4 linked regions of the Tamandua tetradactyla genome follow. The main gene of each other region encodes a partner of the protein of the gene in region 2 in a complex. Links are inferred from orthologs where the notes say so. Each region holds a gene or a part of one and is shown on either strand. Other genes may lie near its edges.

What was found.
Region 1: the proteins of SEH1L (region 2) and WDR59 are in contact, whole or in part, in a cryo-EM structure (PDB 7UHY), measured with the Homo sapiens proteins. The link is inferred for Tamandua tetradactyla from reciprocal best matches to the Homo sapiens genes SEH1L and WDR59. Residues at the interface, in NP_112493.2 of Homo sapiens: Asn308, Tyr309, Met310, Asn312, Lys314; in NP_085058.3 of Homo sapiens: Pro713, Asp714, Glu716, Thr717, Pro718, Arg721, Arg837, Glu840, Gln843, His844, Asn847.
Region 3: SEH1L (region 2) and NUP43 share a complex: the UniProt entries of both Homo sapiens proteins name them as parts of the nup107-160 subcomplex of the nuclear pore complex. The link is inferred for Tamandua tetradactyla from reciprocal best matches to the Homo sapiens genes SEH1L and NUP43.
Region 4: SEH1L (region 2) and NUP37 share a complex: the UniProt entries of both Homo sapiens proteins name them as parts of the nup107-160 subcomplex of the nuclear pore complex. The link is inferred for Tamandua tetradactyla from reciprocal best matches to the Homo sapiens genes SEH1L and NUP37.

What each region holds. Positions count from the first base shown.
Region 1 is NC_135342.1:69,496,566-69,503,423, forward strand, and holds the start of WDR59 (GATOR2 complex protein WDR59), read right to left. Parts: upstream 3,018-6,858; 5' UTR 2,937-3,017; coding exon 2,883-2,936; intron 1-2,882. UniProt on the Homo sapiens protein: As a component of the GATOR2 complex, functions as an activator of the amino acid-sensing branch of the mTORC1 signaling pathway. The GATOR2 complex indirectly activates mTORC1 through the inhibition of the GATOR1 subcomplex.
Region 2 is NC_135344.1:76,895,279-76,902,929, reverse strand, and holds the start of SEH1L (nucleoporin SEH1), read right to left. Parts: upstream 3,008-7,651; 5' UTR 2,879-3,007; coding exon 2,768-2,878; intron 639-2,767; coding exon 588-638; intron 1-587. UniProt on the Homo sapiens protein: Component of the Nup107-160 subcomplex of the nuclear pore complex (NPC). The Nup107-160 subcomplex is required for the assembly of a functional NPC.
Region 3 is NC_135328.1:141,295,556-141,302,458, forward strand, and holds the start of NUP43 (nucleoporin Nup43), read right to left. Parts: upstream 3,006-6,903; 5' UTR 2,956-3,005; coding exon 2,836-2,955; intron 2,527-2,835; coding exon 2,404-2,526; intron 1,422-2,403; coding exon 1,344-1,421; intron 1-1,343. Other genes in the region: PCMT1 (protein-L-isoaspartate(D-aspartate) O-methyltransferase), read left to right, coding at 5,625-5,838. UniProt on the Homo sapiens protein: Component of the Nup107-160 subcomplex of the nuclear pore complex (NPC). The Nup107-160 subcomplex is required for the assembly of a functional NPC.
Region 4 is NC_135333.1:172,275,078-172,282,359, reverse strand, and holds the start of NUP37 (nucleoporin Nup37), read left to right. Parts: upstream 1-4,276; 5' UTR 4,277-4,365; intron 4,366-4,371; exon of another isoform or gene 4,372-4,552; intron 4,553-5,607; 5' UTR 5,608-5,671; coding exon 5,672-5,830; intron 5,831-7,282. Other genes in the region: PARPBP (PCNA-interacting partner), read right to left, coding at 477-629. UniProt on the Homo sapiens protein: Component of the Nup107-160 subcomplex of the nuclear pore complex (NPC). The Nup107-160 subcomplex is required for the assembly of a functional NPC.

The sequences.
Region 1 (6,858 bases), on a different chromosome or scaffold from region 2:
CCTTGAGAGTGGAAACTATTTAACCTTCACTCTCTGAGTACCTGAAACTTCACTTTCCAATACCACAGTCAATATCCACAAGTGGGAATTTAAGTGGCAATGAATTATAATTCAATTAAATTAAAAACACAATGTCTCAGTCATACTAGCCTCATTTCCAGGGCATGGTAGGCACACTTCCATCATTATACAAAGTTTTATAAAGTTTTATTGGATGGTGTTGCTCCAGAAGATTCCAAGTTTTCTTATAGTGCTAATGTACATTGACTCAATGATTCTAGGGATCACTTCAGAGTAGCTGCCAAGCAGCCCAGATTCTTGACAATTAATTAGTGGTGGTATTATCTCAAGGCATTGCTTTATGAACTAGATGGCATTTGTATAAACTATAAAATGGAGTTTCACCAGTTGGGCTGAGGTTTTTCCCTGAAAAACCTAAAATCTTTTTTAAAAAACAAAGTAGTTTTAAAAGATGTGGATGTCTTGATTTAAGAACACCTAGGGCTCAAACTGAGCCTCTAAAAGGTTTCATGGACTATGTTTGCCTTCCTGGAACGATAATTCCTGGAGCATTCCTAAATCAGATAAATCCTGAAACTCAGAGGAACCAGCCTCTCCAAGATTATCAATTAATTATAAACCCTATCCTTTAGTGTTGACACCCCTTTTTAACATGAAAAAATCAGAACGAGCAGTGCCCAAAGATCCCTATAGATAAAAAATAAAAAGTAAAAACTAAACAAAACAAAAACAAAAAACAAAGATCCCTATAGACTGGGAGAAGGATCAAAAGAGAAGAAATTATGACAGAGAAAACAGGACTTAAATGAGTATGACAGCTGAATCATTACATTAATATTCCTTCTAGCCTCCAGTGTTTGGGAGCAGTTAGAAGGAAAAATCTGAAATAGTGGAATGGTAGCCCATGACAAACTCTGGGATCTGTTCTGTAACTAATTGTTGAAGTGGGCTTTGAAAATTATCGCTTTTTTCTTTGTCTATATATTTTATAAAATATAAAAGATGTGGGTGTTTCGAAAAGTTTATCATTCTAGTCTTTTCAGATAGGTGATATGAAGAGTTCTAACTTTTCCTTCCTACATTTGCAAAATAGTTAATAAATTGGATTCCCAACCTTTCTAATCCTCACAAGACTCAACCACAAAATCATGTTAATTCACAACACAGAGGTAACCTTCCAACTGAAAAGAAAAATTAGAAAGGAAAAACAGAAACTCCCACAAGGCAGTTAAATTGCTTTGTTCCCTTACTATGACAACTGCTGTTTAAGTTTAATTATTTGATACTACTTCATAACATCTTAATATATGTGTCAGCACCCTCTCTGCAGGTTTCTTCAATTACATTTCTTTAGACAAGTAGGGGTGAGACTAGCTGGGTTTCTGTGAGAATTAAAGGGCTTGCAGATTAATCGCTTCCAAATTAGCAGGTTTGGAAGCACAATACATCATTCTGTTCTGTCCTAGTCCCCAGTGAAAGCAATTAACAAGAAAGGTAACAGGAATATGGTTCTTTATCCCTAGGAGCCTGGCGCCTCACTTGGGAGAGCAGGTTTCATAGAGATACCACGCTGGCAGTGCAAAGTGTTTCAAGAGGCTGTAATCCCAAGGCTGCTGCTCAAATTCTCAGTGAGGGCTGCACATCAGAGAGCACTCTAGAGCAAACTAGTAGATGGCTCCTCCACTCGTTAATATTTATGGTAAAAGGGAGAATGGGGTTTTAGAAAGATTAAAAAAAAAAAAAAAAACCACATCACCCCTTTCACTGCAATCCAGATTTCAGTATGAATCACATGGTAAGGGCTTAATATATCCTTGCTGAATAAACGAGGGAATGAAAGCATGGCACACAAAAGTATTCAATAAATAGGTATTAAGTAAATGAAGAGATATAACACAATATTTATGTATGACAGGCTGTGCTATCCACCATAGACAAAGTAGAGCTCTGGAGCCAGAACCCTGCGTTTGAATCCCAATGAGTCAATATTTTATGAGGCCCTGGGCAAGCCCCTTGGGGGTCAGCCTCATCTTTCCCATTTGGAAAAAGGGGCTACCGCTTACATTTTGCACGGGTCTTTCATGAATTAGGGGGAAATAAAACGTAGCTAAGCCTCTTAGCATAAAGCTTGGCATATGGAAGATCGGGAATAGAAAAATGGTAAAAATCTCTAGTGAACGCTAACGTTTCTTCAGGCTTCTCGTCTCAAAATTCTCACGCCAACTCTGCCAGGTGGGGACAATCATCTCCCTTCTACGAGTGAAAAAAATACTGACGCGCGGAGAGTGACGACAGGCCAGGGGCGGAGCTGGGATTCGAACCCGGTAATCTGCGCAGTGGCCCGCATTTCCATTCACAACACGGTAGTTTTCTCTCTATCACGGTTTAAGAGCCTAGGAGCAGAAACAGGCCTTCTGCAGGCAACTTTTCGTCGACTCCTCCCCCAAACTCTGTGAGGCAGTGTTAACTCGATCAAGATGAGGCTATGAGAAGTTCGGCGACTTGCCCCACGCCACACGGCGCGGTCCCGGGACCAAACACCTTCTGCCAGGTTCAGCCCGGGTCGTGGCGGCCTCCCCTCAGCACTCAACCGCGCACAATCTCTGAGCTTCAGTGGCCCATGTGGACTCCACTCCCCGTACCCCAAGGAGACCGCCGAAACCCCACCGTGCCCGCCCCAACTGCCCACAACGGTCATAGAGATCCCCTCCTGGATCTGACAGCTCCGGATCACCCCTTGCCCATCTCCACAGATCCGGCCCGGGGTGTCTCCTCACAGCCCCAAGACAGACCCGGCACCTTGGGGGAGGGGAACCAGGACTGGGCGCATGCCCAGAGACTTCATTCGTCCCCCAGCTCACCTGAGAGTCACGGAACTCCACCACCACGTTCTCGCTGCTCCATCGAGCCGCCATCACACCAACCCCAGGACGGTGCCCTCAGCCCCAGACCCGCGTTCCGGGGATCGGTGCGCCCCAAACAGCCTGCAAACCTGCCCTGCCTCGCCCCGCCCCCGCCCCTCCGCCTGACTGCATACCATTGGCTGACTCACACACCGGTTCCGGCCCTCTTCCAGCTCCTCCAATTGCGGCACTGCGCCGGCCAAGCGCAGACCCACCCCCTCTCACATCCATCACTCAGCTCGGGTCACTCACGCACCGCCCCTTGCCGCGAGCTCTGCCGGGAGTTGTAGTCCAAGGTGGAGAAGGGCTTGGGGTGAGCCTTGAAAAGCTTTGCGGGTAGGTTGGGCAGAGGGGAGGTATGCTGTCTGCCCTATCCCCTCGCAGGTGTCCCTTACATAGTCCCAGGCTCAGTCTAGAAACCCAAATCCAACATCCGTGCAAACCCAAGGTTCCTTTTTGCTCTGAGGCCTGCCGTAAAAGCATTGCAAAGTCTGCAGGACTTATTGTTTCATACAGTATAGCAGGGGCTCCCAAAGTGTGGTCCAGGGACCCCTGAGGGTCTCTGCAACACTTTCAGGGGTCTTCAAAGGCAAAACAATTTACATAATCATACTAAGAAGCTATTTCCCTTTTTCACTTTCATTCTCTCACCAGTGTACAGAGGCTACATGGTGCATATTACAAAAGACTGCATGCAGAAACAGATGGGCGAACCCAGCTGTCCTGTTTAAGCAGACATTAGAGAGATGTGCCACTCTTTTCACTAAATTTTTTTGTTTTGTAAAATGTAGTTATTTTTCAAATTTAAAGTAATTTATACTAATGAGAGTTAATGTTTAAATGAAATATGTATAAATATTTTTAATTTTTTAAATTTCAAATACAATATTTTCAAGGTATGTGAATTAAACATCAATAAAACTTTAAAAATTACAGTTACCTTCAATAAATATAATCCACATAAAAGTTCTTTGGGTGCTCAATAATTTTTAAGAGTATAAATAGCTCCTGTGATTTAAAAAAAAAAAAATTGAGAACCACTGTGCTTAGAGCATGGTGGGAGGTGATTAAGTTTCCCTCTTCTGTCCTATCCTTTCATTTCCACCCTGGTTTAACTGGGTGGCTTAGCTTCAGTTTTCTTACAGAAGGCAAAAATGATCTTTCTCACTTGATTATTGTAAGGCGCTAAGCACAGGGCCTGGAATGTAGTAAGTGCTCAAACACAAACTTTTATTGTTGTTAATATTATCAATGTTCTATTTACAAGTTATTACACGAATAGAGAGAGTAAGAAGGTGCAGTCCACTTCCTCCGTTAGGAGTGTTGGATGTAAGAAAGGGAGATGGACTTTCTACAGGTTAGGGTGACCAACTTTATCCCAGTTCACCCAGGACAATCCAGGTTTTAGCACTGAAAGTCCTGCATCCAGGGAAACCCTTCAGTCCCTGGCAAATTGGAACAGTTGGTTGCTCTACAATAGAATGAATTGTGTATTATAATAGACTTGCAAGTAATGTTCCAGGAGAGAACAACATAAGTAGGGAACTTGAAATAGCTTCCTGAAGGAGGTGATGTTTGAGTTTATAGTATAATATTAGGATTTTGATAGAGCGTGGAAAGTCTTTCAGCATAAACAGCCTGAACGAAGACCCTAAAGTGTGAAGATCAGGGTATGTCCCAGAGACATAAAGAGTTCCCACATTAACTCTCCTGGTGCTGCTTCTTTCCTTCAAGATACACATCACAATTTTTAATTTATGATTTTTGTGTTTGTTTATTTAATATTTTCAAGCTTTGGGAGGACAGGGACCAGGTCCATTTTGTTGGGCCCTGGATAGTGCCTTAACATACTACATGCTCCATGAAAACTGTCCAATGAATGAGTGTGAAAAGCCTATAAAGTCATAACCCCGGAGTGCAGTCAAGGTCAAAGAACACTTCTGTGCAACCAAAACTAATCCCCTATGCTTTCTTTCCCATCCACCCATCAGCTAGGCTCACACACCATGGCCCCTGAAACACTCCTCAAACTCTGACTTTCATCCTGTACTGTCCTTTTTTCTGCCTCCCATTCCTCCCAAGTTTCCGTTACCAAAGTCTGTGGAGTGTTCTAGAGAGAAGAGTCTCGGCTCGGATAGTGAGGAAGGGTAAAGACTGCAAGTCAAACCCAGGGGCAGGAGAAAATAAAGGCAAAGAATACTTCTAATACAAGCTTATGCTATCTCATAGGAATAAATGAATAAATTAATTCACCTAACACGCCACATCCTTATTTATCTGCTTTTTGTATGGTACGTAGTAGTTGCTCAGTAAGTCTCTGATGGATGGGTGATTAGCAGATAGTCAGGTGTGGCTATAATTTAGGATATTTGGCAGAATGTAGCAAGGAATTAAGGCTGGAAAAGTTGTAAAGGGCCAGGCTTACCCATTCAAGTTTAATCTGGACAAATACATATAGCTTCCAAAGCTCCCTTTCTGTTTTTCCACATATAGCTTTGTAGATGTTTCCCACCCAAACCAGGATTGCCCTCGCCTGAGCATTCCTGCAACCCTCCCCCTCCTCCTTAGTTCACATTTGTCTAGTTCTCAAAAATCTGCTTGTCATGGTTTGTAGGCACAGAAAGTACTTTGGGTTTCAAATCCTTAGTGCTCTCTGTTCTCTCAATGTTTTCTTTCTTAAAGATGTGAAAGGGACCTGGTAGAATTTGAGAGAGGGAGTATGAGCACCTTTCAAACTGCCTCCTCAGGCCCCTCTTTCCATTTCCTGCCCACACTGTCACCACGATGGAGTGGGGACTCTGGAGCTAAATCTAGAACTCTCAGGCTGCTGCTTCTTGGCTGTACACCTCTGAGATCCGCACAAGAACATCCTGCCTAAATCGGAGACTGGGGTCTTTTGCGGTCCCTTGCCAAGCAAACCTCACTTGCTGGTTTTGGTACAAGGCCCTTTTCACCAAGCAGTGTCTTTTCAGAAGGACACTGCTAGCTAAGCAACAGGAAAGCAGGGTACCTAGCAAACCCAGAAATCTAGGGCCTCCTATGGCTTTTATCAGCAACTAGTCATGCAAGTTTGAACAAGATCTTTTATCTTTCTGCAGGATTTGGAGAGAGCTGACCCCTCAGCCCTTTATGGCTGGGAATCTTGGATCCCCACCTTGAACCCCACTAGTAATTACCCTCTCTTCACCAGTCACCAAATATTTATGGACGTGCCCACACTGCCTCTTTGCTATGTGTACTTGGTTGCTCAATACCCTGGTTTCTCTGTTTAAATGTTCCCTTTTCAAGTAAAATGATGGAAATGCAAAGAATTTTAGAGGACTGAGAGGGCACTGGGGAACATCTGCCCATCCTCAGAGGAGGTGCTTGGGGCTCACTTTAAAGCTACAGAATGCTGTCCCAACCCTCTAGTGCTCAAGACAGAGAGAGGCCACTGGTTCCCCAACTCTTCCCCAGACAGGCACTAATGAATTATGCCTCCTACCTTCTGAACTGCTCAAGTCCCAGGCTTAACGGTTTCTCCCTGAGATGTTTATATCTAGGGCTTTGCAGCCTTGTTGTACCCTTGCAAACAGCTCTGGCAACCGATCTCATTAGCTCTTTCTTCTGACTGTTCTGGAAGGTGGATCAGCTGTTTATTAACCCTGTTTCACAGCCACAGCTGAAGGAAAGCCAAGAAGCAGCTCACCTAGGGCCTGTGAGAACATGAAGATTAAAAAGTAGAAGTCCCAAATCTAGCTGGAACCATTTCTGTATCTGACTTCCTTGTGTTGAGAGTTTCCAAAATTACTTTTCACCCTCTCCAGAGCCATTAACTACCCAAAGGGGGAAAAAGATCCCACAAGGAAAGTTGGAGCAAAACACACCCAGGATTTGATGCAACAAATGACAAAAGGATACTAATCTGAGGCTGCAGGTTTCAGGTGATACCTGT
Region 2 (7,651 bases):
TGGTCAAAACAGCATCGTACTGGCTCAAGGATATTGACCAATGAAATCAAATTGAAAGTTTAGAAATAGAACCTCACATCTTTGACCAAATTATTTTTGACAAGGCTGCCAAGTCCACTGAATTGGCAATGTAATTAACACCACTGAATTGTACATTTGAAAAGGGAGAAATATGGAAATTTTACGTTGTACATAAGTTACCATACAGAAATCCACACACTAAGGAAAAGTGTTAACACAGGGAAACATGTGTGTGAGGAGAGTATGAAGGAACTCTGTATTTTCTGCATGATTTCTCTGTACACCTACAAATGCTCTAATAAAATATGTGTGTGTACAGGAAAAAAGGGAACAAAGGAATATGCTGAAGTGCTAAGAAAAACTATACTGAAATGTTACAGAATTATAAATTTCTTACTGTTCAATTTTATGAAATGCATTTGTGTTACTTTAACAGGTAAAAAAATGCATAGCATCTTTTCAGGAAATGAATTATAAATTCTCTCTAGGAAGAACAGCGAGTCATTGATACTATCAAATAGTAAACATTTCAATTTTCCTCAATCACCATAGAAATAAATACTAACCTTCCAGCTAGCAGTACAATGCCAATCTCCACTTTCACTTTTATCCCAGACCTGTAAGAAAATAAAATGCAGATAGTTTATAGAAAAATTCCTACAAATTAAGACTAGAAACCAGTACACAGGAAAAGGATGTGAAAAAAAAATTCACAAAAGAATACGTGTATGCAAGCATTCATTCATTCAATGAGATATTTACTGAGAACCTCGGCTGTGTCAGGAACTGGGCTATGCACTGAGCCTCAGACAGCTCAAGCTCTAGTATGCAATGCAGACAATGTACATCATACACAATAAATATTACAGCAGAACACTGGACTTAACAAACAACAAAAAATATATAGATTTCAATAACAAGGGGCCACTTTAACCTATTAAAAATGATTTTGCCCAACAGTCTATGAAGCTTTTAAATCAGTAATCTTACTGGCAGTGTAAAATGGTACAACCTAAAAAAGATGATTTGCCAACTCTTTTCAAAAGCCCAAAACAGTCACTAATTTTTATCCAGAACTAGCCTAAGGAAATTACCCAAAATATTTAAAAGCTAAGTTAATGTAGATTTTCATTGCAACATTCTTTCTGAGAAAGAAAACCTACCCACTGAAAGATCTACTGAAGGATCAGGTAATAAGTGAATAATGAAAAAATAACAGCCTATTTAGTTAGACATTAATTGAGCCATTGGGAATAATGATCATGCAATAATGGGGGAAAATATACTTTTGCATGAAAAAGTTACACATTTACCTATATTTACTACCATGACAGTTATTAAAAACATTATAGGAAAAGGCCAAGAAATCACTAAATCTCAACGAGTGATAAGTGACCAGTAAGCCTATAAATAATTTCTCCTCCTAAAAAGAAAAAGTATATTACTTGCACAACTTAATACAAATGTGTGTTGTGTGTGTGTAGATAAATAAATAGAGCCCTTCGGTAAGAAAAAGTACACTGGAAAAAATGGACATAAGGTCACAAAGTAATGAAACACTACCGAAATATATACACCTGCAATTCAATATAATTCCCACCTAAAAACTCTTTCAAGGAAAAACATCATTCTTATGCAATCTCTTTATAAACCAGTAAAACTGATCCCAAGTTGTCATATAGACTACAAATTCATTATTTAACTAATATCTGCAGATTATTCATGTAGGTCAATTTATGACGATTATATATGAGAAATGTTTCCCCAAAAGGTCTACTACATAGTTAATCCATTAACAATCTTTAAAAATGGTTGTGAACCTTTCGAAAGCTGTAATTGGATGGATTTGGCGGTACTTTTTTCAAAAAAGTAAAATTGCTATAATTTTATCTTTCAGACCACTGGTAACAAACTTCAGTGTGAAAAGCAAGAAGGAAAACCCTGCCTTTGGAATAGTGGAGAATATAAATAATCCACACTCCAGCTTCCTTCTTCAGATTTACTATCACACCCCGATAACTCCTATCAGATTCCCTAAATCCCAAATACGATCCGCATATTATAAAAAGTCAGAATAGTGCTTTACAAACATGCCAATTCCTACAGAGTACAGAACTACATCGAATTTTTCTTTCACCGCGAAAAATATGAAGTTCCTTTTCCCACCACAAATAGGGAACTGTCTGCCCAAGTGAGGATTACGCAGCTAAAACTCGAACCATGGAAAATACTTTCCTCCAAGTCCCTCGCCCAGCCCTCTCATTGAACAAATTCGGTGGATTAGGCCACCTACTGCCAGGTACTCCTCAGACTGACACGCCGCTATGAGGTACTCGACCCTAACGCTAGCAAGTAACTCTGTCTACACACTGGCGCGAGGCTCAGAGGCCGGAGGACTGCCGGGAGGAGGCGGGAGCACCCACGTGGCCAGGATGCCCCGCCCAATCCGCCAGCCCCGCCCACTCAGCCAGCCGATCCGCGCAGGCGCACAGGGAGCGCGCCCCACGGGGCAGCCGGGACCCCGCAATGCGACCGACCGTGGAGCCCTATGTTGGGCAGATGGCGGCCGCAGGCCAGGGAGGGTCTATCCGCCTCCCCTGGGCTCCAAGTCCCGAGCGCGGAGGCCCGCCAGGGAGTCGGGAAGCCCTCCACGCGACAAGTCGCCGCCCCAACGTCTCCCTGCTCGGACCCCGGGGCTCACGCCCGCTCCCAGCGCCCCCTCCTCGGGCATCGCCTCCGTGCGCACCTTGACGCTCTGGTCGCTGGAGCAGGTCGCCATCCGCCGCCCGTGGAAGTCGAAAGACACATCATGGATGAGATCTTTGTGATCCGCCGCGATGCTGCGAGCCACGAACATCGCGCCCGCCGGGCCCGCGCCTACCGCGCTGGCCCTATGCGCCCCCCAGGAAAGACCCCGCGCATTAGCGCGTGCGGACGCGCCACCCGCCGAGGTCCCGACGCCTCGCGCGCTCCCGCCGCAGACGCGCGCAAAGTGCGCGTGCTGCTGCGCGCCACCGCGCCCCGCCCCTCACCCCGGCATGCCCCGCGAACGCCGTAGGGCGTCGCTGCGTCTTCGCCTGGGCCACACCCCGCCCTTCGGCCCCAGCGTGCCCGGGGAACTCCGCCGGAACTTCCGCGTCTGCGCTCTGGGCTAGGCACGCCCCTCGGCCCCAGCATGCCTTGCGTGCGCTGCTACAGCTTCCGGGTCTGCGTCCCTGAATCAGACCTGTAGAAGTCGTGGTCGGAGGTTCCTGCGACTTCCAGGGACGCGTCTTATTTTGTTTTACATAATAAGAGCTCCTTGTTGAAGATCTGGAAATTAAGGAAGATGAGAAAGATAAAATACAGTGCATAGTCCTCCACCCTGAGTCAATGCCCGTCCACATTTCGGCGTTTCCTCCCAGAAACGTGCTAGGAAGATTCCCCGGAGATTCGGTCCCAGTGAAGCTTTGCTGGAGCAGGACGGGGTGCAGAGGTGCTGGAAGAGGCGGGCCGAGGCGTCCGCCTTAACAGCTGAGACGTGAAGCAGGAAGGTTAAGAGGGTCGAGGAGCAGGTGTAGTGAGAGGGAGCGTGAAGGCGGAAAGGGTCGGAAGTAGGAAGTAGGCAGAGATACTTGAATTTACTATACCGGAGACCCGGGTTCGATTCCCGGTGTCTGCCCGTGCAGAACGTGTGTGTGTGTTTAAATTTAAAACCTCGGGTAGTGCAAGTTGGGGGCGGTAGCAGAACGTGTGTGTGTGTGTGTGTATTTGAATTTAAAACCTCGGGTAGAGCAGGTTGGGGGCGGTAGTAAGACCCAAGAAGGAGAAGATGAGATCTTTAGAAATTCGGGTTCGTGGGGTGGAAACAAATTACTTACGCAGTTTGCAGGATCCAAAGTGAATTGGAGGACTTTCGACCCTGGAGCCAGAGTCCTCAACGGAAAAACAAGGGAAATGAGCAAAACGCCCCATAAGAAGAGGAAGCCTTGAACCAACAAGTGGAGGAACATTTTTACAAAGAGTTTAAAGATTTAGGGGATTTTTTCATTCAGGGAGAGGCATTGCAGAGGGAATACGGTAACATTAATTAAGAAAGGAAACATTGGAAGATTGGGTCAAGGGAGAGAAAGTCCAGGGGAAAAAAAATCGAAAACGAGTCCGCGGAAGGGGCTTGTATTTTGGATTATGGCCAGGGATGACAAGAATTCGAGGCTTGATGAGATCAGCAGGAGAGAAAGTTTTCAAAACACTTAGTCCCAGCTGTTCCCTGATGGATTTCACTGAAAGCTGCAAAGGGAGGCAGGGAGATGATCTAGACATTCTGGAATTTTCTTTATGAGACTTTTTTTAGAGTTACATAGTATAAGACTAAATGTTTATTGTAAGACATTTGTTAAACCACACGTGTATATAGAGTAAAAATTAAAGTTCCTTTTCACCCCAGGATCTATCCTCCCTTGCATAGGATAACCATTATTACTGTGTACTCTTGCACACTTTTTCTGTGGTTTTGCATATAGCTACCTAGTACTAGCATATGAGATAACTAGTACACAGAAATGTTGAAATGTCATTGGATTTTTTTAAATTGATACTTTGTCTATTTTTGCTTTTTAAAAAGTATCCAATAGGGCGGGCCACTGTAGTTCCGCAGGCAAGAATGCTCACCTGCCATGCCCGAGGACCTGGTACCTGCCCATGTAAAAAAAAAAGGTATCCAATAAATCTTGGAGAACTTTCCACGTGGGTCTAATTCATTCTTTCAGTCTTTTACCTATGCATTCCAAATTAAGGCTGAATTGTGGTTTATTTAAACATTCCTTTGCTAATGGGCAAGCATGTAAAGATCACTGTAGGCATGATTCATTTATTCATTCAGGTAGACGTGTGCTTCATTAGAGTTCTGAAGTTTTTCTTAATATAGTTTTGCATGTTTCTCATTTGCTCTATTAAAACTTTATAATTTTCCTGGCCATGTGTCTGGGCTCTGTCTTCCTATCTTGCTTATAAGGAACCTGTTAAATCTCATATGTTCATTTTGTGTTTGTTCCCTTATAGAAGTCTTAGTTCTCTTAGCTTCTACATTTATTCTTTTGGGTATTTAGATAAATAAGTATATTAGCTGCAAGTAATGACATAGATATTTTGTATCCCTCACTGTCCAATCAAGAAAACGATATGTACTCTAGCTATTTCAAACAGGAAATTTAACACAGGAAAATGGTTACAAATGTATTGGAAGGGCTAAGTAGGCAAAAAGGGAACAGGTGAGGTTATCCAGAGTGTAGTAACTGCAGGAAACTTCTTAGGGCTGGAACAGAGGGAAAATAGTTTTACCCAGGGCCTGCCGTCACTGAACCTCTGAGATTACTGATGTTGGAATCTTCATCACTGTCCTAGGAAGCCAGCAGCAGAGTTGTCCAGCTAATGCGGCAGGCATCTAACAGTGGCAACAGCTGAAGGAGCCGGTGCCCACGAGCTCTGGGCAGCTGAGGATCCTAGATCCTCTGCAGCTGCTCCTGCAACTCTTAGGATTCCACTGCTTCCACAGGAAGCAGGATAGCCAGGCTGACCCATTGCCACCACAGCTGCAGCTGAGATGTCACCACAGAAAGGGGGGAAAAGATTTCTCTCTTTCTCCTCCATTCCAGTAGCAACGTCTGGTTGAATAATAGTTGTAATCATGCTTCTCTTGTTCCTGATGTTAATGAAACTGCTTCTAATGTGGCATAACTTTTCAAAAGGTTGGATTTCTATTTCAAGCTTGCTAGGAATCTTCATTAGGTATTAGTGTTTATCTCTTTTTTCTTATCAATACATTAATAAATTTCTGAATGCTAAACCATTATTGTTTTAATACACTGCTAGTGATTCACTAATATTTAGAATTTTTGCTTCGATATTTTAAAAATATTTTTGGTATATATTTTGCATATACATTTGCATGCGTGCTGTTCTTGTCCTTTTATGGTTTCTGTATTATTTTAACCAGGCACAAGAGATTAGGAAATTTTCATATTTTCTCTCCTCTGGAACAGTTCAAATGACATGGGAATTACTATTCTGTGAACATTTTGAAATTATATCCATAGAATTATATAAGCGTCATGCCTTGCTGTTAAGGAGGTTATTGATTTTAACTAAAGTTCAAATGTATTTTGTTATTGGTCTTCAGATTTTCTACCTTTTCTCAAGTCAATATTGATCATCTTTATTTTTCTTTAAAAAATCATTTATACACCATCAAGTTATACATGATAATTTCTTATAATTTTTTAAAAATCCCCTCCATGTCTGATGTAATGCTTTTTTGTTGTTTACTTTGCTTCTGTCTTCCTTTTTTTTCTTAATGTTTTAAACTTTTTATTGAAGGTATTATATACTTTCCAAAAAGTGCCCATGTTATAAGTTTACAGCTCACAGAGCTTCCCACAGAATGAACCCAGAAGCTCTCCTTGTGCTTCCTTCTGGTCAAAGAGAACCAAAGATAACTTCTATCCTGGTTTCTAGCAGCATAGATTAGTTTCACCTAGTTTTATCCTTTATGTAAATGAAATTGTACAGTATATGCTCTTTTTTTCCCTGGCTTTTTCCACTCTGTATTTAGGAGATTCATCCCTATTTTGCAAATGTTCACCCATCAACTTACTGATGAGCATAAGATTAAGTTCCAGTCTACATCTGTTAAGAATAGTGTTGCTGTGAACATTCTGGTACCCGTCTTATGGTGAGCGTAAATGTGCTGTTTTCTTGGACATAATGCCTAGGACAGTAATTGCCAGATTATCGAGGATGCACATATTCATATTTAGTAGATACTGGCAACAATTTTTCCAGAGTGGTTGAACCACTTTACAGCATCCTAGCAGTGTGTGATCGCTCCTATGTCTTCACAGTCTCAGCAACATTTGATATTTGTCATCTTTTCATTTTAGTCATTCTGGTGGTTGCATCATGACATCTCACTGTGTTTTTTATTTGCACTTCTTCATTTTTTTCCCAGAGGTTTGCTTGTTATATTAGTATTGATAAGTTGGATGCTACTGACCAAGTCTCCTAGTTTTTCCTTTCCTATTTCATTCATGTCCATTTTACCTTTATTGGTACTAGTACTTTCTTCAGATATTTATAGTTTTCCTACTTTGTTTTGCTTTCAATCTTATTTCCTAGGAATATCAAACTTGTATATTTTCCTCTGAGGAAATGAATAGCAATCTTTGCTATTCATTTCTGAAGTGTGTCATTTGAGTTCTTGTTTGCTATTTAGCTCCATACTTATTTAGAAAATGTGTTTTCACAAGTGGAAGTTTTCCCTCTTTTGGCTGTTGCTTTTCTGTAGCTGTAGTGTGGATTTGCCTGTACCACAGAGAGTGCACAAGAGGACAGGGGCCAGCCCTGAGGACGCTAGTCCGGTGACATTGTCTACGGCAGCCAGTTAGGAAGCATAAAATTTACTGGCCAAACACAACAAGCAAACTCACCACCGTCCCCCTGTCTACATGGGACATGACTCCCAGGGGTGTGGACCTTCCTGGCAGCATGGGACAGAAATCCGAGAATGAACTCGGACTCAGCATCAAGGGATTGAGAAAAACCCTAGAATGAGCTGAGACCCAGCATCAAGGGATTGAGGAAATCCTCTTGAGCA
Region 3 (6,903 bases), on a different chromosome or scaffold from region 2:
CAGATCTACAAGGCAAATGCATGAAATGTAATCATAAATCAATGGTTTTGGAATCACAATTCTTTGTGACAAGAACTATATAAAGATGTAGGAGTAAGGGATCCAGGAACACGGTTTATGTATGCTAATGAAGTTAAGTAGGTATTAAGGCAAGCAAGATTATTATAGATTTAAGATGTTAAATTTAAGCCCTATGGTAACCACAAAGAAAATATCAGAGAATATGTAAACTCACAGAGAAAGAAAGTAGAGTACAGGTTATCAGGGATACAGGGTAGGGGCAATGAAGAGTTAAGGCAAAATGAGTACAGGTTTTCTGTGGGGGGGAAACGGAAAGTTATCATAATGGATGGTGGTGAGAGTACACAATATTGTGAATATGATTAATCCCACTGAATGGTAATGTTTGGGAAGCTTTGAATGTGAAGATTTGTTACACAAATACTTCCACAATTAAAAAAAAAAAGAAAAAATTCTGTCTCACATCTTTCTAGAAAAATAATGCTCTCCTTTCTCCTTTGTATTTCAGAGTACTAATGTCTAGAAATTACTCTCATCAAAGCTTCACATACGTTTAATTAGATTCAAAACAAATGTTTCCAATCTTTATGTCAAATAAAGAAATGGTCCTTGGGTATCAAGTAGTTGTGCGTTCAAAAGCAACTCTACATTCTAATGGGAATTAGGCTACATCTAAGAAATAAATCTCAATAGCTCTTTCTAAATGACTCCATTAAGGAAAATACTTAGCCAGATGTGCTACCCATACCCATTAACAATACCTCTATTAACCTCCAAACCTAAATAAGCAACTTCAAACTGTGTTACTGCAAGTGAAGCTATTTTTAACAATTGCCCTCACCATGGAACTGTGAAGGTCAGTACACTTGGGCTTTAGCAAAAAGAAAGACATTGAGAAAAAGTCAGTCTTCAAACAGTGTATCCTCTTCTAATTAAAACCTGGGATCCATCAAGCTAAGCAAAGCAACTGTTCCTTTTCCTTTCTCAAGGCATCTGAGCTGAAAGATACTCTTTTTTTCTTCAAAAGAACTTATAAGGCAGAATTACAGCAAAATTACCTACTGGAATATCACATTTTTAGGTCAAAACTACTAACAGAATTTATTTAACAAGCTAAGGGATATCCAAGTTCAATAAAAGGCCATAGAAAGATAATTCCAGAATCAAACAACCAAAAGTTTTGTAGTAACAGTGGATTTCCCTCCAGCATGTTTTGAGATTGTGAAGTTTAATTATTTGTAATGATTACTAAGCAGTCTTCTGCAAACCTTCCTCCAAATAATTAAAACACAAATGTGGTTTTCAAACAAAAGGTTCTTTACCTTGTTATTCTGATGGTGAAGGAAAACAGTTACACATCCTGTTGATGAAGCTGCTACGATTCTTTCCTGGTCCAAAAACTAAGTAGAAAAATGCTGCTTATTATGGATTCAAAAACATTAGTAGGGAGGAAACCCATTTGTTCAATTCAATCAGTATCAAACTGTATAACAAATTTAAAGAGAGCTCGTGTATGCTAAGCAAATAAAATGCAATAATAGATTTAAGACGCAAAAACTTCTAGACAAATAATACTATTTTCATGAATAATAAATAACAGCATTTTTTCCCTAAACTCCTTTGCTTGCAACTGATTTAATTTTTAGCCATTACAATAAAGATTTAGAAAAATATTTCCAGGGATAGACAGTTTTTTATAGAATAAAATACAGGGATGTTAAAGTTATACAGACTTAATTCTATACTTAATTCCAGCCCTATCACTTACTACTGACTCTTAGACAATGGACAAATAAATTAAGCTCTCCAAGGCTTGTAAACCTTTGAAATGGGAGCGCTTATTTCTTTATGGGGGGGGGGGGGGGGAGAATTCAAAAAGCAAAACCTTGTAAATTGCCTTGCCCAGTGTTTGTCAAAAGGCATATATGCTCAACAGAAGTTCTTGAGCATATAGTTTTCACACTGGTAAAACAAATAACAAAAGTTGATTCACAGACGTGAAACGAGGGTTAAGTTTGTGTAAGCTCCCAAAACAGTGTTTGGCACTTGTTAGCTGGTTAACTGATAAAAAACTGTGATTAAATCTATATTTCCCGCCTGAGTTCTGATTTTGCCACTATATACTTTTATGACGTTAGCAAAATCATTCAGCCCACAGAGGCTGTAACGAAAGGTGAGACTAGAAAAAACTTTAAGGTATTTTTTTTTTTGGTGGGTGAGGGTGTTGCATGGTCCCCAAATCGAACCCGGTCTCGCACATGAAAGGCGAGCATTCTACTACTGAACCACCCGTGTACCTTTTATGATGCTTTTTTTTTTTTTTTTATCTTTAAGTGTATCTCTCAGTTGTTTTAACAATTCGTAGATACTACACAGACTTACCTGCAAATCCATGACATCACCATGGTGTCTGATATCACACAATAACTGATGGTCTCCTCCAAAACCTCCATCAGAGTCCAAGTTTCCAAAATCTCCAATAGACCACAGGGAAACATAATTTTCCTGTAAAGCAGAAAGTTTTGTCTTGAAGCAAAAGAAGCATCAACCCTGGGAAATTAAAATTCGTACGCCCTCAGGCAACCTTGCATCAAAATCACCTCAATAAACAGTAACGGTTAAGTTCAGACCATTAAGAGGTACGACATTCAGGCATTCTATTGCCGGCTCTGAGCACCAGGCAACAGAGCCCGAGATAGTCCCCCGACTCGGAGAAGGTAGGAACAGCTAGCGGGCGAGAACTGGCTCGGGAGGCCGGGCCGCAGATGCAGGGGGCCCAAGTGTGGGGAAAGGCTGTCGCTAGGGTCGAGGTACCTCGTTGTCCCAAGAGCCTGTAGCGAAGGTCTCCGCGGTCTGTAGGCTCCCCGGGGGCACGGGCCTCCAACGGGTTTTGCTGATTTTCTGAGACACAAACTTGGCGTAAAATTCCTCCATGCCAGAAGCAGAAATGGCAAGCACTGCCGCGCGCGCTCTAAGCCCTGTCCTTCACCCTGATTGGATGGGACATAGATGGGATGGTGTCTGAGGAGGGCCAATCTTCCTCCTTGGGCGAAGAAGACCGGATTGGTCCTAGCACCCAAGCTGGCAGGGGTGGCCGGTAGGAAACTATCAACCCAAGCTAGCAGGGGCGGCTCTGACAAGGGTGCCTTACGGTTTTGTGCTGTAGGGTCAGCTCTTAACCGGCAAAATGACTACAGGAAGGCTGAGAGAGTGTATTTGTGCAATAAGTGTGCAATGTAAAATGAATTTTAAGGGCAAAACCAAAATCAGTGCAGGAGAAACCACCTTGTAATGATATCTAAGTATTCAGTTGCACTTCACCGCGTATAGAAATACGCAAGATCCTTACCGTTCTCACGGAGGTACCTCTACTAATGCACCAACTTATTATCAAAACCTCTCCCTCTTTGCCCCCAAACAAATCTTTTGTTTCACATTTGTTAATAACACATTGTCAGAGTCCGGCGTTGGAATTCTTAAGACTCTAGGTCTAATTTGCAGCCCATTGCCTAGCTGTAACCCTGGTCAATTCATTTACGTATTAATAAAGAATGAATATGGTGATATCGAAAGTCAACAGCCTAGGAATTAGTTTTCTAGGTTCCTTCTCCTGTGCCTTTAGTTATACCTATAACATCCATTCTTCTTCCTTTCCCAGAATCTTGCTCACCTTTCAAGCATTAGTTCCTTCAGCTATCTTTTCCTGATTACCACAGTCCATGATGATCTATATAAACATAGCACTGGTTATCTACAGCACTGATGGTACTTATATTTTGCTTTCTATTGCTAGTTTTCCTTTGGCACAGATCTCCTCAATTAGAACGTAAATCCAATTTCATACAAGAGGTGTAAATTCTTCATCTTTTTATCTCCTTTACATTATAGGTATTCATAACTGTATCTCCTGTTTTTTTAGAACGCCGATGATACTTTCTTGCTCTTATTTTTATCTGGTAGTCCTATTCGACAACTACAGCTTATGGAATCACCACATGTGAATTCAATCCACCCAGGCCAGCTTTAGAGAGTTATCAGGTTCCTATCAATGACTTGACATTTTTTTCCCCTAACAAGAAGACCATCAGGAAGTTGCAGAGAGCAAGGCAAACTATTAGAATTCCAAACTGACCATTTTATTTCTAATATTCAAGTAGAGCACACTGTTTTGAGTGTTTATGATCACATGATGCCAGAAAAAAAGGTAAGGTCTAAGTATATTTCAGGTTGGAAATCAGATTCATGTCACATTTAGCAAAGTCTGTTAAGAATTAGAACCTGAACAATGAAACTGGCACAGTAGTATAGATGTCTCGGTATAGCTTTGCTTCCTTCCTTAAAAGTGTACTGGACCAAGTGATGGTTGGGTTCTACTAGCCTCGGTTCTGATTAGGAGTCAGCATTTTTTTTTCCATACTCAGAATATTTATTAGATAGTACCCCATGGGGCCTGCAGGAGAAGGGTACCAGACTGCACTCCTTCCCCTTTTGCAAGCCACCCCCCTGAATCAAGGGTCAGGATTCTAAGGGAATCAGATGTCTCAAATAAGTAAGAATGTATCTGGGGGGAAAAAGATCATTCATTCCCCACACCTGACAATACAATTATATGTGTTTCCCAGGAAGAGAGGGTGCCAGTGAGAGTGATGAATAGATGAGATGAAGAGAAACAGAATGGGCCCTTCTTTGTCACAGCCTGGGCTTGGAGAAGGACTGGAGTAAACAAGTATTATAAAGGAAAGGAAATGAGAGAAAAGATGGAGGTCAGGGGTTGGGTTCACTTAGATCACACAGCTTTGTAGAAAAAACCTAAGCAGCAACTTGAGTTCTCAGGTTGGGACAGGGAGTTGTGGGCTCATCACTTGGAGAAAGGAGAATCCAAGGGGCTGTCTTCCAATCAGACTGTGATTAGATACAGGAGTCAGCATTTTGTCTGAGACAGGCAATGTTCCCTGACAGCTTCTCGCTCATCGTCTGCAGAGCTGATAGCAACAAAGTCGGTGCCCAGTCTAACGGTGGAATTTGTGAGTCTTCAGCATACTGTGGGATTTTTAACCAATTGTAGATCTTCAAATGTGCGTTGTTTCAAGGGGCAAAACACCCAATCCCTACATCCTTTATCATGATATAATTTTCTGTCTGAATTTGTGCTTTAGAAGTGACAACAAACGAGGATAGCAAGCTTTCTGCTAACCAGCGCTGTCCCAAGCCCGAGTCAGATCCTACAGACTCCACCATCCGGAGCTGGGGTTCTACCCTAGCTACTGGGCTGGGTGAGGCAGGGCGGGGGAAGCCCACCGCTTAACAACGTGGACAGTTATAGGAGCAGCCCCGTGGCTCGCAACAGCTGACCGAGAGGCGACTGCGGAACTACCAGTGACCGTGGTGAAGCAGACCGGCCGCAAAATCGCTCTGCACTGGGACAAGAGCGAGGGTCTCCAGGATCGACCAGAGGAAAGCCCGAGGAAAGGCGATGCGCAGCGAGAGACTCGGGAGATTGCACCACCCATCCAGCCTCGGGGGAGTCCTGGGAAGGCGCCTCCTCGGCCCCACCCGGCCCCGCCCAGAGCGCGGCGTCACAGGGCGCATGCGTGCCCCGGGGCATGCCGGGAGCGCGCAGTGGCGGCAGCAGCGGCGGCGGCTCCGGCGGAGACGCGGGCGGGGTGGTGACCGTGTGGGAGGTGGTGTCACTCCTGGGGAAGCTGCTGGGCACCGTCGCCGCGCTGAAGGTGGTTCTGTACCTGCTCCGGGTGTGCCTAGCGATGGCCTGGAAATCCGGCGGCGCCAGCCACTCGGAGCTCATCCACAATCTCCGCAGTAAGTGCCGCCTCCACCGCACCGGCGGCCGGGCCTGGACTGACCCCGGTCCGGCCGCGACGTTGTGTCCCCCTGCTGCGGAGGGCCTCAGCTCCCTAACTGCTAGTGTGTGCGACCTCCCCCCGCCTCCTCCGACGAAGACCTGTCACTTAACGGCGACGTGGAGGAGAGGTGGGGGCGTGGAGGGCCGGGTGGCCCAGGTGGGGCGGAGGCTGTCCGCGGAGTCAGCCGCCTGCTGTCTTGAGTCCCGCGGCGGGGGGCGTTCGTTGGGGTAAGATGGTATTGCCAGGCTTCCGGAAGCTGGGCAGGACTGAGGGGACCCCAGCCTTGCCCCCCGCATTTTCTCGCTTTCCTTCTGCTCTAAAGTCGACCTCATTGCAAGCTTTCCCTCCTGTTCTGCCTCCCCCGCCCTCTGCTTTTTCCCCTGGAGGAAGATGCCACCGTCTGATATAGGCGAGGGGAGGGAGAGGAAGATGAGAATATTGCCGTAGAAGAGGCTGGGAGAAATTTCTCGGGCGTCTGCCCAGTGCAGTGCTTTGTGAGGGGTGGAGGATGAGAGAGGGCATGCTGTTTTTGCTAGACTTGTATTCAGGACCCTTTAGGGGTCCTGGGACCCAGCAAACGATTGTGTGTGTGTGTGTGTGTGTGTGTGTGTGTGTGTGTGTGTGTGAATATTCTAACTTTTTTCAGGAGTATCATATGCTTTAACAACCTTGTATGGAAGTTTCTTTATACCATTCTCTTTATTCTTTCTTCTGAAGATAATTTTAGGGTGGGATGAATGCTGTGTCACTTTCTTTTTTTAAGTTGAAATATCGTGTCGCCGTCTGTTCGCAAGATCCGCAGGACTGCTGTCCATAATGATCTCATTCTAATCAGAGCTTATAGCACTCTCTTTGCCGCTTATTTTGCAAATAATCATATTTTGTCACGTGGTATTTTTAATTGTCATGTTATTTAACTTTTCATGTGTTTGTCATATCTCCCAACTCTCTAATCTTCTTGAGGATTTCTAATCCTCTCAAATAACTTAATACTCATAACATTTCCTAAAAATACCAATTA
Region 4 (7,282 bases), on a different chromosome or scaffold from region 2:
AAGATACTTTGTGGTTAATTTAAATAAACATTTGTAATGTGTGCTTTCTAGAATTGCTTTTAGAGGAGAAGGGAAGTAATAATTTTTAACCATAATAGTTGCACATCTATCTTAAGACATTTATTATGTCAAATGTACATGCTCCATGTTAAACTGTACTTATGAAAGCCTTAATTTTTAAACAAATCATTTCAAATAAAATCTTAATATTTTGTGGCACACATATATATGCAGAGGGATTTGTGAAAATAGTATATCAATATTATCATAATATAACAAAGAAATTAATGTAATTAAGATTATTAAAATATGCAGTAGCCGAAACTTAATAAAAAAATAAATGAACCTAGTGGTTCAGCGCTAGAATGCTCATCTTTCATGCAGGAGACCAGGGTTCAATTCCCGGACTATGCAGCCCCTCAAAAAATACAAATAATAAATAAAGAAACAAAGAAACCTACACACAACTTACTAACCTGTTTGTTGTTCTCTGCCATGGAAAGCTGCAATATCAGGAGCATGGAGTCTGCACCACATACAGTAGTTCTCTCAGAGGTACAAAGGGTGTGCCAGTTCCTTCTAAACGCTTTAATCATGTTCAAGATAGACTTCTGATAATGCACAGCCATCCTCTTAAAGTAGAACAGAATACAATGTTGAAGTGTCTTATTTTAATTGGAAATTAATATCTAACATGTGCAAACAAGCAGAGTAAAAAAAGCAGTGAATGAGAGATCATCTCATATCTACCAAAATGGCTTTTAAATTTAAGAAAACAGAGTAATATAATTCCTGCCCAATCACATTTTCCTCTCATTTAATTTTCTTAAGCCAAATCATCTGAAATAATAATATCCAATCCTGCCTGAAAAGTCATCCAAAAAAGTACACAAATTTATAATGATAAAGCAAGTGAAACACAGCCTGATGGAGAAGTAACATGGAACTCCAGCCGACAACCAACATTAACTCACAAACACACAGTGACGTGATTATCCAGCTCCAGTCAACCTGCCAGACGAACTCGCCACATGAGCAATTCCAGGCAGGACCAGGAGAAGAACGACCTAGCTGAGCCCCATCTAAAGTACCGATCCACAGAATCACAAGCACACGAGCTGCTAAGTTTTGGGGCAGCTTTTTACACCAGCAACAGATCACAACACAATGGCTAATATTTAGGAGCTGTTACTTGATGCCAGGAATTTTTCAAAAGTTTAATATATTACCTCATGCAATTCTCACAAGAGGTGAGTACATTAGGCAGGTACTATTATCTTCATATTACATCTGACAAAATTGATGCCTCATGTCACCTGGCTAGAAAATAACTGAACCAGACCTAAACCCAAGATGCCTAATCCCATAAACTGTGTTCTTAAATCATTATATTGCATAAAAACCTCTGATACAGACAAAAGCCTTTCAAAATAATTAGATGCATTTCTAATGTTTTATATACCCAAGCCTATTGGACAGCTAATTTCTTTCATACCCAAGCCTATGAAACAGCTAATTCCTTTCTTTGATTAACAGACATGTGCTAACAGAGTTTTTCCTTCTTTCTTTACCAGTTTAAAATATATTCACATGTCCATCATCTCTTTTGGGTATGGTACTGTTCTCATCAATTTACTGACTTCTAAATCCCAGGCACCCTAGGTTTGCATGATCAAGAAAAAGAGCATATACCATTTACAAAATGATAGTTTAAATTATAGATATAACCAGTAACACAATTTAAAATACAGGTAAAAGACTTTATGTTAAAATAGCCACATAAATACAATCCCTCATAAATAGGTAGGAGTTATATTTCCCTTCAAAATATCACTCTCAGCTCTTAAAAAAAATGAGTGATGTAGGCCCCTCTCTCCAGCCAACCCAATGAGCAGTCTCACCACCCTACCACTCTCTAAGTGGGACATGATTCCCAGGGGTGTGGACCTTCCTGGCAACGTGGGGCAGAGATCTTGGAATGAACGGAGACTCAGCATCAAGGGATTGAGAAAAACCCTAGAATGAGCTGAGACAGCATCAAGCGATTGAGAAAACCTTCTCGACCAAAAGGGGGAAGAATGAAATGAGACAAAGTGTCAACGGCTAAGAGATTCCAAACAGAGTGGAGAGATTATCCTGGAGGGTTACTCTTATGCATCAAGTAGATATCATCTTGTTATTCAAGATGTAATGGAGAGGCTGGAGGGAACTGCCTGAAAATGTAGAGCTGTGTTCCAGTAGCCATGTTTCTTGAGGATGATTAAATAATGATACAGCTGTCACAATGTGACTGTGCGATTGTGTCTGATGCTCCTTTTATCTACCTTGTCAACAAAGGAGAACATATGGAATAAAAATAAATAATAGGGGGAATAAATGCTAAAATAAATTTAGTTTAAATGCTAGTGATCAATGACAGCAAGGGGTAAGGGGTATGGTATGTATAACTTTTTTTTCTGTTATCATTTTATTTCTTTTTCTGTTATCTTTTTATTTCTTTTTCTAAATCGATGCAAATGTTCTAAGAAATGATGAATATGCAACTAAGTGATGATATTGTGAATTACTGATTATGTATGTTGTTTTGTTTTTAATTAATAAATTTAAAAAAATGAGTGATGTAAAACTTCAGCTTCAATGATATGATCATTTTGCCTAAAATAAAACTTCAGCAGCAAATTAGTTACTGGCTTTAGAGATATTATGAGTCCCAATTGCTAAGAATGAAGATTCTTGTGGAACCAGACTCTTCTGGAACCTGGTTCCAGAACTTACTTGCTGTGAAATTTGGTCAAGTTAGGTCACCTCTCCCTGCTTCAATTTCCTCCTACTGAAAATGAAAATAATAGTTCGTACCTCATAGAGTTTTGTAAAGAGTAAATGACATATAAACAAGTAAAGCTTTAAAAGAACAGTGCCTGGCACAAATAAGAGCACATTAAAAGTGAAGTATTACATTATGAGTTTCTAAGTTGCTTTGAGTTAAAATTGAATGGACATTATTATTGGAGACAAAAAAAAAAAAAAAAAAAACAGTATTGTCCAGGAGTCAGGAGTTATTTGGAAAGGGCCAAGAGCAAAAATGTGAGGTTTGCAGGTCATGTGATCTTTGTCACAACTACTCAACTTGTCCTTGCAGTGTGAAAAGAGCCATGGACAATTCATAAATGAATAAGCATGGCTGTGCTCCAACAATACTGATTTACAGACAGTGTCCTTTGAATTTCATATCATTTTCATGTGTCAAAAAAATTATTCTTTTAGTTTCTTCCCAGCCATTTAAATACATAAAATCTATTGTTTACTCAAGTGGTAGCTGCACAAAAACAGGCAGTTCAGCCCATCTGCCCATCTCTTGTGAGCTTGGGTGACAGATTTACACCTGGCTGCACAGCGGAGATATCACCTAGAGAAGAGGCACAATACTCTCCTCACTTACTCACCTTCCTCGCACTTGAGAAGAGTCAATGAGGCACGGAATATGCAAACACTCTGAATGACAGGCTGCCCTACACAAAAACAGTAGAAGAAATTGGTGGCAATAATAAATACTTGCTTTAAAAAACTGGATTAAAGCTGCGCTGGAGGAAAAACTGTGGGGCAGGTGAATGTCACTGGGCGGTAGTGCGCGACGTCTGAAACAAGTACACGTTCGAGTCGGATAACCAGGTCCACCCCAGCAACTCCATCTATTAGCTGTACGTCCTACACTATGCAAGACCTCTGATGAGCCTCAATGTCTTAATCTGTGATCGGGGAGACAGTTCCTGGGTCGTAGTAAGGTCGTGAGACTTTGATGAGACAAGTACATGACCCAATGAATGCTACACTAAACAGGTCCTCGATAAGATACAGGGAAGCGTTGTCAGCAGTCAGGTGTTCCATGCTGTCTGGGGCGATGTGTATGGGGTAGCAAAACCGGAGTGGGAGCCCGCACGCCTCGTTTCCTCTAACTAGGGCCTAGCAGGTCCTTCTGGGCCTCCATCCCGCCCCTTCCAGTTCCCTCGGGGACACCCGACGTCCGTCCGCAGTCCTCAGAGCCAGCCAGGCGGCAGCGCCGAGGCCCGCACTTAGCACCGCACACGGTGAGGCGGTGCTCTGGTGTCACCGAAAGACCCCACAAGGTTCCGGCCCGGCCCACCAACGCTGGCAGGGAAGCGGGGAGACTCACCCGCGCGGGCTCCCGAGGCGAGGCCGCGCCTGCGCGCCGGCCCCCGGCCACGCCGGGATTACATTTCGAATCTCGCGGGAGGGCGCGGCAGCCAATCGCGGCGCTCGCCCTCCGAACCGGAAGCAGAGCCGGCGCGCGGCGGCCGCCCCGCCCCCGCGGAGGCCTGTTCGCTGCGGCCGCGCTTCGCCCGTCGGGTTGGTATCACGCGGCAGCGCCGAGGCAGCCGGCTTTGGGACGGGAGGTGTCTCCTCTGTCCTGGGCGTCCCATCTCTGTCCTCCGCGACCGCGGGCAGGGAAGGCGGGATCGGGTGCCGCGGGACTGGCCTGGGTGGGAGAGCGGCATCGAGGCTCTGTGCAGGGCCTTCTTCCCGGCTGCTCCAGGTGTGGAGGGGAGGGCCCAGCCCCGCGGGCGCTGCTGTAGGGCCACGGGGCCGGGATCGGAACGACTTTCCTGACCTCGAATCTTTTGCACCGCTGTTTCTGTGGGCGTCTCCCCTGCTGGTCACTCTTAACCATGCCAGCCCCGGGTGTCCACTCGTGAGTTTGCCAGCTGCTTCTCGGTCAATACTCATCAGGCCTTGGATGCGTTCATTTCTGGGTCCGGCTGTTTTCAGGAGCATAAAACTCTTATATCCAATTAAAAACAAACAAAAAAACCTAAAACCCGTAGTTCTCATTAGGGAATACTACTCTGTGGCCAGAATACACGTTAGGCCCGAACAGCTTTGTTGAGATTTTGTACTTGGCTTTATACCAGTGTATCAAGTTTTGGCACCCTTCGGGATCCGAGGATGCTTTGTATCTCCTTGTGTTAGAGCGCTTTTCATGCAGAATCATAACTATCCCTGAATGGTGACCGCCTTCAAGGCTGAGGCTGTTTTTCTTCACTTGCCCTAGTGTCCAAAATATAGTGAAGTCTTTCTGGCTCTGCTTGCTTATAAGCTTGGAAAGTTGTTGAACCTCCTAAAGCCTCAGTTTCTTCATCTGTGACGTGGAGACCACACATAGTATTTCCCTCTTCGGTTTGTGCAAATATTAAAAGTGGTAATGGCAGTAACGTGCTTTAACGTGGTGGCAACAAATAGTGCTCAGCTATTCTTTTTTTATAAATTTATTTAATATCAATCTGATTGTTTTTGCAAGTACTCAACATACGGCTTAGTCATACAGAATTTTATGGTGATTTCCTCTGCAAGTATTCACAAATATGGAAAGGAGAAAAGCTACGGAGCAAGTGTTCTACCATTAACTATTTTATCTAATTTTTTTCTGCTGCTTTGGTCCCTTGATAAGTACTTCAAATGTTTCATTCCTTTTGAGCTTTGTACCGCATTGCAATACCACATCCTTGCAATACTACATCCTTATTCTGATTCATTTACTGAAAGACATATTTAACTATTTCTAATTGAATCTATTTCTGCTGTAATTCACAGGTTGGTGACCTTGTCCCATAGAAGGCTGTTTTTTTTTTTCACAACTGCTTGAGTTTTGGCATACATGATGAAGCAAGATGCCACCACAAATGCTGCCTACACTGTGGATTGTGAAGATTATGTGCATGTGGTAGAATTTAATCCCTTTGAGAGTGGAGATTCAGGAAACCTAATTGCATATGGTGGCAATAATTACGTGGTAATTGGCACGTGTACATTTCAGGTTAGTTGCAAAGCTGCAATAAATGACAGTGAAGATACTTCACTTATAAACTTAAAAAACCAAAGGTAAATTTTGAAAGTATATTGAGTATTGCATTTGAACATTTAAAAAAAGAAAGATATGCAGAACCACAGAAAAAAACTTTCCCAGTAATATATGTCTGAGGTTGTATCAACATTGACCAAATAGAAAAAGAAGAGGGTGAGGCTCCTCTTTTGCCTCATTATTAGTTATAGCACATTATGATAATTGAAGGTTTTGCGAAGTTGAACATTGGTATGTTTAAAAAAAAATTAAATGGGATACAATTAATTACAATTTTTACTACCTTCCACTTTGTCATGAAACATTTTAGGCTAATATTAAAAGCCTAAAAACTGATTCTCTGGGAGATTTTATGGCTTTCATGAGATTCAACTTTTCTATTACTATGCTCTCCTACTTTTTATACATTTAAAGCGTGCATCTAGAGTATACAAAGTATGAGATCTTGTTACTTGAGCATACAATTCAGTATAGTCATTAAGAGCATGCTCCCTAGAGCTGGAATACCTAACTTTTCACTCCTACCCACTTAACCTCTGTGTGATCTTGACAAGGTACTTAACTTCTCATTTCTAAGAATGGGTTAAATAATACTTAATTGAGTTTTGGGAGGATTTCATGAGTCACTACATGTGACATTCCTAGATTGGCATCTGGCCAATTGTAAGCAACACACAGAGTCTAATTGTCATTGATTTGGGGCAGTGATGACACTTAGGTGCAGCCCTGTATTTTTCTCACAAAAATGTGCTACATGTGAGAGAGACTTTGATCAATGAGAGTTCAACACTCAGAATTTCTGGTTAATCCTTTGCTAGCAAAAATATTATTCAGAAAACCATTATTTCTCAAATTCTGATTAATCAATGACGTTAATTTAACAGGCACCAATTTTCAAAGATTTAAAGTAACTTTATCACTAAAGCCATTATAAACATTATTTCCTCTTCTACTCAGCAGCAAATTCAGTATCGTATAGTGTTGTGAAATAAAAAATGCAGTGTATCTTTTTACACTATTATACAGTAAATGTGTAAAGCTCTACAAAATTGGACTGGATTCGTATTTATCCTAAGGGGAAAATATAAAGTATAAATTAAAGATTTCAGTTTGTTGGTGTCTGAGTATAATATGAAAGCTCTTACATTATCCCATATTATTTGTTTGGGGTTGGGAGAGGAACTTCCAGATTTTAAATGGAATACAATCCTCAGCCAGACTTCAGCTGGATACTAGATTAGGAATCATATAATGTTGAGTAAGGTGATTGCTATAATGTACTCTTAAAAAAGGCCCAGGGTCCGCAGGCAGTGTTGGCTCATTGGCAGAATTCTTGCCTGCCATGCTGGAGACCCGGATTCAATTCCCAGAGCCTGTCCATGCCAAAACCAGAAAAAGGCCCAGGGG